Nothobranchius furzeri: one gene and its partners. The protein of the gene in region 1 interacts with the protein of each later gene in a biochemical or structural test. Links are inferred from orthologs where the notes say so. Each region holds a gene or a part of one and is shown on either strand. Other genes may lie near its edges.

The links.
Region 2: the proteins of lrrk1 (region 1) and bag2 form a complex in vitro, tested with the Homo sapiens proteins (2 studies listed by BioGRID and IntAct, with this or other methods). The link is inferred for Nothobranchius furzeri from reciprocal best matches to the Homo sapiens genes LRRK1 and BAG2.
Region 3: the proteins of lrrk1 (region 1) and cdc42ep3 form a complex in vitro, tested with the Homo sapiens proteins (2 studies listed by BioGRID and IntAct, with this or other methods). The link is inferred for Nothobranchius furzeri from reciprocal best matches to the Homo sapiens genes LRRK1 and CDC42EP3.

The regions. Positions count from the first base shown.
Region 1 is NC_091749.1:7,384,473-7,388,128, reverse strand, and holds part of lrrk1 (leucine-rich repeat serine/threonine-protein kinase 1), read right to left. Parts: intron 1,594-3,656; coding exon 1,396-1,593; intron 763-1,395; coding exon 548-762; intron 1-547.
Region 2 is NC_091752.1:19,643,883-19,647,638, forward strand, and holds the start of bag2 (BAG family molecular chaperone regulator 2), read right to left. Parts: upstream 2,778-3,756; 5' UTR 2,524-2,777; coding exon 2,399-2,523; intron 2,215-2,398; coding exon 2,105-2,214; intron 510-2,104; coding exon 115-509; 3' UTR 1-114. UniProt on the Homo sapiens protein: Co-chaperone for HSP70 and HSC70 chaperone proteins. Acts as a nucleotide-exchange factor (NEF) promoting the release of ADP from the HSP70 and HSC70 proteins thereby triggering client/substrate protein release.
Region 3 is NC_091752.1:7,954,129-7,957,068, reverse strand, and holds the end of cdc42ep3 (cdc42 effector protein 3), read right to left. Parts: intron 2,142-2,940; 5' UTR 1,951-2,141; coding exon 883-1,950; 3' UTR 546-882; downstream 1-545.

The DNA of each region.
Region 1 (3,656 bases):
GTGGCACTCCGACTTCCTAATTTTCCAAAATACCAGAAATCCTCCCCCTCCAATCAGAAGAAATCCAGTTAACATAAATCCAAAAAACCGTGCGTCTTCAATGTCCACGGACAGCTGGGAAAGGCATGTAATATTCCACACCTTCCAGAACTCCAAAATGTACCCCACTGGGTGTGTTCTATCTGGACAAGCTGGAGCCCCCAGCTCTGTTCTCATTGCTGAAAAACTTGTCAGTCGCGTTGAATGACCATTTGACCTAATCCGTAATTCAATAAAATTTTAACTTTCAGGAGAAATGCAGAGAAGCGCTCTGTAGACAGACAGGACAAGAGCCTTGGGAAAAGATAAGGGAGGAGAGACGAGAAGGGACTGCACTCTTCGAGTGCCGGAAGAAGAAGATTCCAGCACATAAAGAAGATCAGCCACCATATGATTCAGGAAATCCCAAGAAGCAAAGATGTGGCTTTTATTTTTCACTTTATCTGCTAGTATTTTTAATAATCAGCACACAAAAGTATGGATGGTCCTTGAGTCGTGGTCTACTCACTAGTATGTAGCACAGAGCTGGTAAGATGCAGCGTGGAACAGCAGCAGGGTGTTGGTGTGGTCATCCAAGGTCCAGACTGCTTCTTCTCCCCACAAACAGAAGCTGGTTGCTATACTGACGATAGAGGATGGAGGTTTGTATGGTTCCAGCCTTCGAATGGCCTGAAGACTCAGAGAGTCAACAACCAGCAATCCGGGACCGTTGGAGAACCATAACTAGTAAAGACACAGACCCAAGCAACACAGCAACGTTCAGATGTTTGACATTCAAGTAAGCAGGTAGAATATGAAAGTAACGAAAACTACATTTAGAACCAAAACCAAGGAACTGTGTATTAGTGCATATGGTGTACATTAAAGTAACGACCTTAACAAGAAAACTAGAGTTTCAAGGTAAGTCAGTATTCAGGGTTTCCCCCAGCGCTTTATAAGCCTGGCAGCCCACCAGGCTTTGCTTGGCCACCCGCCAGGCTAAGCGTCATGTCCCGCCCCCCTCCCCAACCCTACCGTGTCCGATGACACGAACGGCGCAATGAAACTAGAGCCCTCCATCAGCTGACACTGGTGAGAAACAGCAGTGGACGTGTGCAACCCCCTCACTCTCACAGAGGAGTGCTGCGGGACAGAGCGTGTGACCCCCCCCCCGACAGCCGAAGCCGCCAAGCTTGACTCATTTTGTAATGCTGCTATTTAATTTGTTAACAAAGGGCAAGTAATATGAGATCTTTCTCTTCCCTTTTTTATATATTTTTTGCTTTGATTTTATTTTGATTCCTTTTGAATGAATTAAAAAACCCTTTGGCGCTGACTAGAGGCCTGCTCACTGGCCGAAATCATGGCTCTGCTCACCTGCGAGCCACTGCTGACCAGAGCCATGCTTCTGACTGGAAATGGTCGTTGTCTCAGATCCGAGTCCTTCAGACCAAATACTGTTTTATTCAAGGAGTGTGAACACAAGTAGGTCTCCCCCTCCAGAGGAAGGTCATCCACCAGGTTGAACACCGCCACCAGGCCATCAGACATCCCAGCAAACACCTTGGCCAGGCCCTTGGAGGGAGAAACACATCCGGTCACTTTCACATTAGTCTTTGTATTTAATCATATGGTTCTTTTGTCAGTTCTGATCACATGAGCCCATTTACACTTGGGTCAGCTCAGTCTGGCCTTGGTAGGGTGTTTTATATCTATACCACTTTTTGGCCTCCAATTCAGTTACGTTATACAGGTCCTTCTCAAAAAATGTGCATATTGTGATAAAGTTCATTATTTTCTGTAATGTACTGATAAACATGAGACTTTCATATATATTAGGTTCATTACACACAACTGAATTAGTTCAAGCCTTTTATTGTTTCTAATATTGATGATTTTGGCATAAAGCTCATGAAAACCCAAAATTCCTATATAAAAAATTAGCATATCATGAAAAGGTTCTCTAAACGAGCTATTAACCTAATCATCTGAATCAACTAATTAACTCTAAACACCTGCAAAAGATTCCAGAGGCTTTTAAAAACTCCCAGCCTGGTTCATTACTCAAAACCACAATCATGGGTAAGACTGCCGACCTGACTGCTGTCCAGAAGGCCATCATTGACACCCTCAAGGAAGAGGGTAAGACACAGAAAGAAATTTCTGAATGAATAGGCTGTTCCCAGAGTGCTGTATCAAGGCACCTCAGTGGGAAGTCTGTGGGAAGGAAAAAGTGTGGCAGAAAGCGCTGCACAACGAGAAGAGGTGACCGGATCCTGAGGAAGATTGTGGACAAGGACCGATTCCAGTCCTTGGGGGACCTGCGGAAGCAGTGGATGGAGTCTGGAGTAGAAACATCCAGAGCCACCGTGTACAGGCGTGTGCAGGAAATGGGCTACAGGTGCCGCATTCCCCAGGTCTAGCCACTTTTGAACCAGAAACAGCAGCAGAAGCACCTGACCTGGGCTACAGAGAAGCAACACTGGACTGTTGCTCAGTGGTCCAAAGTACTTTTTTCGGATGAAAGCAAATTTTGCATGTCTTTCTGAAATCAAGGTGCCAGAGTCTGGAGGAAGACTGGGCAGAGGGAAATGCCAACATGCCTGAAGTCCAGTGTCAAGTACCCACAGTCAGTGATGGTCTGGGGTGCCATGTCAGCTGCTGGTGTTGGTCCACTGTGTTTTATCAAGGGCAGGGTCAATGCAGCAGCTATCAGGAGATTTTGGAGCACTTCATGCTTCCATCTGCTGAAAAGCTTTATGGAGATGAAGATTTCATTTTTCAGCATGACCTGGCACCTGCTCACAGTGCCAAAACCACTGGTAAATGGTTTACTGACCATGGTATTACTGGGCTCAATTGGCCTGCCAACTCTCCTGACCTGAACCCCGTAGAGACTCTGTGGGATATTGTGAAGAGAAAGTTGAGAGACGCAAGACCCAACACTCTGGATGAGCTTAAGGCTGCTATCGAAGCATCCTGGGCCTCCATAACACCTCAGCAGTACCACAGGCTGATTGCCTCCATGCCACGCCGCACTGAAGCAGTCATTTCTGCAAAAGGACTCCCGACCAAGTATTGAGTGCATAACTGAACATAATTATTTGAAGGTTGACTTTTTTGTATTAAAAACACTTTTCTTTTATTGGTCGGATGAAATATGCTATTTTTAGAGGAATTTTGGGTTTTCATGAGCTGTATGCCAAAATCATCAATATTAGAAACAATAAAAGGCTTGAACTACTTCAGTTGTGTGTAATGAATCTAAACTATATGAAAGTCTAATGTTTATCAGTGCATTGCAGACAATAATGAACTTTATCACAATATGCTAATTTTTTGAGAAGTACCTGCATAAGTTCAATGTATTACTATTATTATTATTGTTATTATTATTATTATTAAAAAACTCACCCCCACATCACTCCCACACCAACCATCACATCCTGCAGGGCAAAGTCAATGACCCTGTTTCATTGCTATGTTTATTTATTTGGCAGACACTTTTATCCTTAGCAACGTACAATTTATAACCTATAGGGGATGTTGTGATCTGTGAGGGGAACCGGAGTGCCCGGAGGAAACCCACGCGTGTGTGGAGAGAACAGGCAACTCCACGCAGAAAGACCGCAGCCAGG
Region 2 (3,756 bases), on another chromosome or scaffold:
AAGACCTCTCCTTGCTGCTTCAAGCAGAGTCCATCTGAAATTAATTAAATGTGTAAAAGCTAACTATAGCTTTCTGTGAGGTTAGTGGAATTCAAGACACCTCGGCAAAGGGTCTCAGTGACCCCCGTTAGCTTTTGTGCCCTCCAGTTTTTGGTGATCCATTATCTTGATGTTCTTTTCGGCATTTTCAACGTTCCTCAGCAGAGTCTCCAGCCTTCGCTTTATCTTCTTCTGGTCCTCCAGAGCGCAGCTGATCACCACGGTCTGAAACTTCTGGTCAATAGGGACGAGCGGTGCCTCCGTGACGCAGGCAGCGTGCAGGGCCAGCAGCTGCTGACGGCCACCTTCCATGTCGCTCAGCAGCTTTTTCACAATCTCGTCTATCATAGACGTGGCCTTGAGTAGTGCATCCTCCTGTTGGGGGTTTCTGATTGTGCCAACAGAGATCTCCACAGACAACGTTCGGCCCATCAGACGGTTCGCAGTCAAAGATAACTCTTCCCTCTCACCTAGAAGACATGTAAACATATTACTAAATCTTTATAGGAAAGAAACTGCTTTTAATGCGGCTGTAACAGCACATCAATAGTCATTTCATATTTCTAAAAGTTTATTTCAATGAGTACAAGCTCTGATTTGTCTGAGATCCCACCCCACACCATAATACTGCCCCCACTGAAACCTGTTAAGCAATATTCATGATGTTCTCCATGATTCTGCCAACTTGTCAATAATAACAAGCTGACACCAAAATACCACTGATATTAATTGGAAGAAATGAATGCAATAACATTTCCAAACATATTTTTTATTGGGATGGACGATGTTTCTCTGGAGCATTTTTTGCCATATTGCTTGTTATGGTCATCACATCGTACAGCAACCAATAAAGTAAATGCTTTGTCGAAAAACTAATAATTTTCATTTCCTCTGAAACATGCAATCCCGTTCTTAATGACTGAATCATGATCCATCCATCAAACTCCCCTCTGACAGTCCCTCCGCTGTATGCGCATACCCGTATTTGTGGATGTATTGCGCATTCTTGGCTTAGAGTAGTTGAACAGGAAGCAAAGTCGGAGCCGGACTGCCTAGTGTTTAACGGACAGAATGTTCGGTTATGTTTGCAAATTTTATTCAAAGATTAGGTTATAACTCATCTTTTCTTGTCATCTAGAATCTTCTGGTGCTGATCTGTAACAGGCCCTTTTGCGCCATGAGAATCTATCGTGGCTGCAGGAACTGAAGTAGGGATAATCCCAACCCACCTCCCCACCTAGTGGACACTTATATTGTGTAATGCCTGAAGTCTGTTGCATCTCTGTCGGAGGTGGGTGTTTTTTTTTTTTTTGCATAGCAAAGCTGCCTTCCCAGTGGAGGGTAACTCTGAAGTGCCTTTTTTTCCCTCCACCTGAACCAATCCTCATGTAACCCTCTGATCTCAATTAGCACGACTCAGGGTTGCGAATGACCACAGTCACCAATTCTTGTCATATGTCTTGCCCATGTATGTCTGATCTCTGAATTGTGTGTACTGAAACTCTAATTTCCCTCTGGGATTAATAAAGTATCTTTGATTTGATTTTGATTGACACTCACGGCAGTGACTTTTGCTTACAAATGTGGTCTGCAGTAACCAAATTTGACCACAGGATGTCAGTCTTACATAATGCACCTTTACATAAAGCCCTTCTTTCAAATCCCTGACCAGTTGAGAGGAGTTTCTAGGTGAACCATGGAGCTCGTGTGAATCATACTAACTTACATTAATGAGGTTTAATGGAGCATAAACCAACATGACTAGACGGTCTACCCTGGTCAGACTCTGGATTTAAATAATGAGCTTTAAGGGTTAGGCCTTTTTGTCTGTTTACAGCGGAACCAAATCAATAAACCAGATGTAGGCTATTGACTCACACGATCCAGAGGTGAAACATGAGCCTGGTTCACACAAACTGGGTCTGGGTGAGATCAGAGGAGATGGGATTCTGGTAGAAATACATTAACCGTACTAGTTCCCCTTTATAACCGCGTATCTTCCCTGGCATTAAGCCGTGCGTGACTTTTGCGCTTATGTAAGTTAAGAGAGAGTTAGCAGCTTCACCAGCACAGATGTTCCTCATTTCTTGACTGTTCTGTATGGACTGAATCATTTCCAGGATGCACTCCCTTTCCTGCTCCATGGCAGATGCTGCTTCTCGTAAAGCCTCCACTCTGACACAGAAAGAGAGACAGCATATGAAATAACACGCTGCAAACCAGTTATGTTTGTTATGAAAAACATTTATTGTCACATTGCCCTGTTTACAGTGTTTATAAAAGGTTTATGCCAATAAATGTTAGCGGCCGGGGCAAATAGCGGCTCCGTAGCACACATGGTACAACAAGGGCCTGTTACCTCGTTTCCAGCTGATCCAAACTTTCCAGGAGTCGCCCCGAGCGGTCTGCCATAGAAAGCGTCCTGCTGAACTTGCTGCAGAGGGCAGCTTCGTTCATTTTCGCTTGTATTTTCGCTTGAGCCATAATGAAGACGAAGATGATGGCTACAGTGCTTTCCCTCGGTGAGCGCAAAATCCAGTGTGTGTCCCTCCGAGCCGTCCAGCTGGGTGTAAATCCTCGGACTGAGGCAGGCAGCAGCAGCGCCCCATGGGGGGAACATTTCCTAACATGGACTTCCTTCACTCCGGCAGAAAGTTCCCGAGGAGACCAGAGCTGGAGCTCCCAATCGTAAGGAGCGTGGACCAGCAGAGGTCCGTGAGCAAGCTCCTCCAGGTCCACGGAAATAAAAGACCTATAATGTTCCAACTCACTTTGCAGTTTTAAGTAATGTGTCTTGATTTATTTGGGCATAATTTTTATTAGGCAGATTGGTAAAGTAATCAAGTTATTCTGATAAACTTATCCAGGCCTATATATATATATATAATTCATTTTCACTCCAGACTACAGATGAAAGCCTGTGGTGGTCTGCAACCCGCAACTCTGGAGCCACAGTGGACCTTCCAGAATGGCTTTTACTTTATAATAATCATAGATATAATAGAAAAAGTGAGATTTAAGCAGCCTTTTGTTATGGATTAATTGAACTGAATTCCCACAACGCAGTGACACCTGTCATCTAGAGGTGAAAACTGCATTACACCCCTAGGCCTCTCAGTTTCCATGATTATGGCCTTTTTATGAACAGTCATGTTGTGCTGTTTATCATGTATATTTTAAAGACTTACTTGTCCATAAGAAATGTTACCAACTCTGCATCAGTCTGGGCTCGTCTTCCCTCTGATCACCTCTCCGTCCAATCTTCTTTTCGAGCTCCCCATGTGTATGTCGTTTGATGGCTTCCGGGGGAGCTGATTACCCTTTTGGGGGAGCCGTGATTTCAACCTCCCCCAAAAATCGCCAAGAAAATTTCAAAAAGATGTATTGCCTTGGTTATCACAGTACAGGCTTTTATGGATTAAAAGAAAATCATAAATAATTCTTGGAAGGGGGGAAACTCCAGGTTGCTGCTTTAAAGTACCCATGAGATTTTTACATCTATTTTTTAAAAATAATTTCCCTAAATATAAATATCTGGTACAAAAAATACATTCATACACTTTTGGCAAAAGTTTTCTTCCTAAACTCAAAATCTAATAGGAACAAAATGGTGTAAATATTTATGAGACGTCTAACCTTAACCTCAGAATTCTGATTATTTTTCCCTCAGAAAAGAGAAAAAGAACTTCTTCTTCAGTGGCCCTAATCCTTTTATGT
Region 3 (2,940 bases), on another chromosome or scaffold:
TATATAGCGCTAAATCACGACAAGAGTCGCCTCAAGGCACTTCACATAATAAACATTCCAATTCTAGCTGAGACGTTCTCTGCTGTTTCCTGGGCGATAAACCGACAACATCCTTCCCCGTTGTGAGTCGAGATGGGCGAGTCCATGAACGTTCTCTAATCCTAGAGTTTCACCGTCTATAATCTATCAGCGGCTAATGCAGGAGATAGGTGTAGGAGACTATTTTCACGTTTAGTCTGCAGGGCAAACTCGTATCGCAAAAATAACAAGTAAAAACCGTTAGTTTCTCAGTGAACTTGGCCTTTAAACGTGACTTGGGTCCGAGTCCAGAATAGTACTCTCGGTGGATTTTTGTTACTAGAAAACTTAAAAACACCTCCTAATCCTGACTTATGTCCATAAAAAATGCAAAGAAATGAAAGAAATTTTGTTTTTTTTTTATAGCTTCGAAGAAAACATTTATGCATGGTGTTCTGCTGTTGCCCAATGAATCATGTGTCAGGCCCACTCTGAAAGTCAAAAAATGCAACGTCGTGAAGGCTGGAGTCTGTGAAGTTGTTTATTCAGTGGAGGTCAACACAAGAGCACCAATCTATCATGTAGCTAATTAAAAATGAAAGGCACGATGGCTGTGATTGATCTGTAACACTAAAGCTCATGCATCCTGAACATGCTGCAGGCATGACAAACCAAAAGAAGACTCCACAGAAGCTAGAACAGTTAGAAGTTTTAAGAATAAAAACATAAGCAGCCTTGTCTGTATCAGCTGATATTCATCTCAATGATATATCCAGACACCATTTTGATTACTTGTGAGTCTCTCCCCCCTCCTGGCTATTATTGTACTGATTCCCTCTCTGGTCCGGGAGGCCCCGGCGCAGCTTAAGGCCTGCTCTTCGCTGCGGTTTTGTCCATTATGTTGAGCACATCATCCAGGATGGATGGGCCAAGATCCAGCTCCAGGGAGAGGAATGACCCCGTGATGTGGGCGAGGGAATCCTGAGATGCACTCTTTTCCTTGGAAAACTCAAACTCAAAGTCACTCATGCGTCCCTCTTCCACCCCGCTGTCCCTGTCCACCCAGTCTTTATTGCACTTGGAGAGCTCTGTTTTGAAGCTCGGGGACATGTCATCGTTGAAGCATCCGTAACCGTTGTGGGTGCCGTCTCCGTTGAAACTCCGGCTGCCGTTACTGCGCTCACTCTGGAAGTCCCCTTTACCGGTGAAGCTGTCGTAGCTGTCGCTGCTCGTGTTGCTGTTCACGCTTCCGTTGGCCTTACAGAAGCTGCTGGTGTGGCCGTTGATGAAATATGACGAAGGCTGATCGAATCTTCTTTCACTCTGGTTTAACTTGTTGGCCTTGGCGACAGCCTTGGACTTGTGCGCGTTTTCCAGCAGATCTAAGAGGACGTCAGGCTTCGAGTGGATGTCTGTAAATGGAGACGAAGGCTCGCTGTCGAAGACGTCCAAGGAGTGCAGCAGAGCATCAACCTGCAGGATTTCAACCTCCTCAACTACTTCAGCTTTCAAAAGAGAAGAAGGTCCCATGATGTCCTCCATGGGGGGCATTGGGAAAATGGCGGAGGAGATCAGAGGAAGGGTGAGAGCCTGGCAGCCACCGATAGTCGGGAGTGAGATGGCATTTTTAAGTACGGGAGAGGGCGTCTCAGCAAAGGAAGCGTCACCTGTGCTGTTTGCTCGCAGAATCTCCGATTGGACGCCAAACTGTGGGTTGGCATTTCCCTTTCCTGGTAGAAGCTCGTACTTCCCCTGAAGGAAGGACATGTCTCCAAAGGCATCTCTCTCTCCGCCTCTGCCGATGTGGATGGTGTGGCGAAAGTCTCCCAGCGGCGGGCTGATCATGTCAGGGGACAGAATGTCTCTCAGCCGACACTTTTTCCCCTTTTTACTGTTGGTGGGTTTCAGGTAAATGGGTGCTTTTGCTGGCATGCTGTTCCTGTGCAGGATTCTCAAATGTGCAGGACAGGAAGCTCAGAAATGCTTCTGCAGGGTCTGAATGCTGCGGTTCCCCAAGGGAGGAGATGGAGTTACATTCTCAGAACCAGGATGCTTATACAGGACTCTGAAAATAATCCCTGCATCAGTCCAGAGATGGAGATGTTCAGCAAAGGGGCTCTTTTCTGAAATCAGAGACAAAACGGTAAAATATCAACATTTTTAAGAAAAATGTCCAATTTTATAGAGAACAGATTTAAAACACCTGTTTTGTCTTCTTTAAACAAAACCCACTGAATCCCTCAAGGAATAAAAACCATTTTCACGCTCACATTCGCACACCAGAGACTTTCTTGGCCTCCTCACATCTCTGGAAGTGCTAATGTGGAACAGCTGGACGGCAGATTGGAGGAGAAGGGGACTTTGGACGGATCAGAGGAGGGCAGCCTGTCTTTAGAGCGAGCTACTGCTCAGGCATGCCCAGACAGAAGGAGCTACACCGGGGAGGGGGTTACAGAGGTTCAGAGAGAGATAAAGTCAGGAATTATAGTGTGAGTGGATCTTAGGAGAGAAGGTGGTGCAGACGGAGCTTTGAAGAACCGAGGCCCGACGACAAGCCAAGAGCGTCGCCTTAAAAACTCAGGTCGACTGTTGAAGAATAAGAGAAAACGCTCTGGGTGAGGTGGTGGTGGTTTAGTGTGTGTGTGTGTGTGGGGGGGGGTGGGGTGGGGGGGGGGCACCAGCAGGAGGGGAGCCTGTCCTTTTATAGACATATTTATTTCTGCGAGGACTGACAACATTAACCCTCTGATAGAGTGCCTCAGTGTCTGCACCCTACACCCCCAGCCTCCTCCTCCTCCTCCTCCCTGCCCAAATAAGAAAACCTCCAAAACATCCACATTCCTGCTGCACCCGACCGATACCAAGCCTCTGAATCAGCCTCATCACAGTCCCTTTAAGGAGGCAGCTTATTCTGCGTGGAGC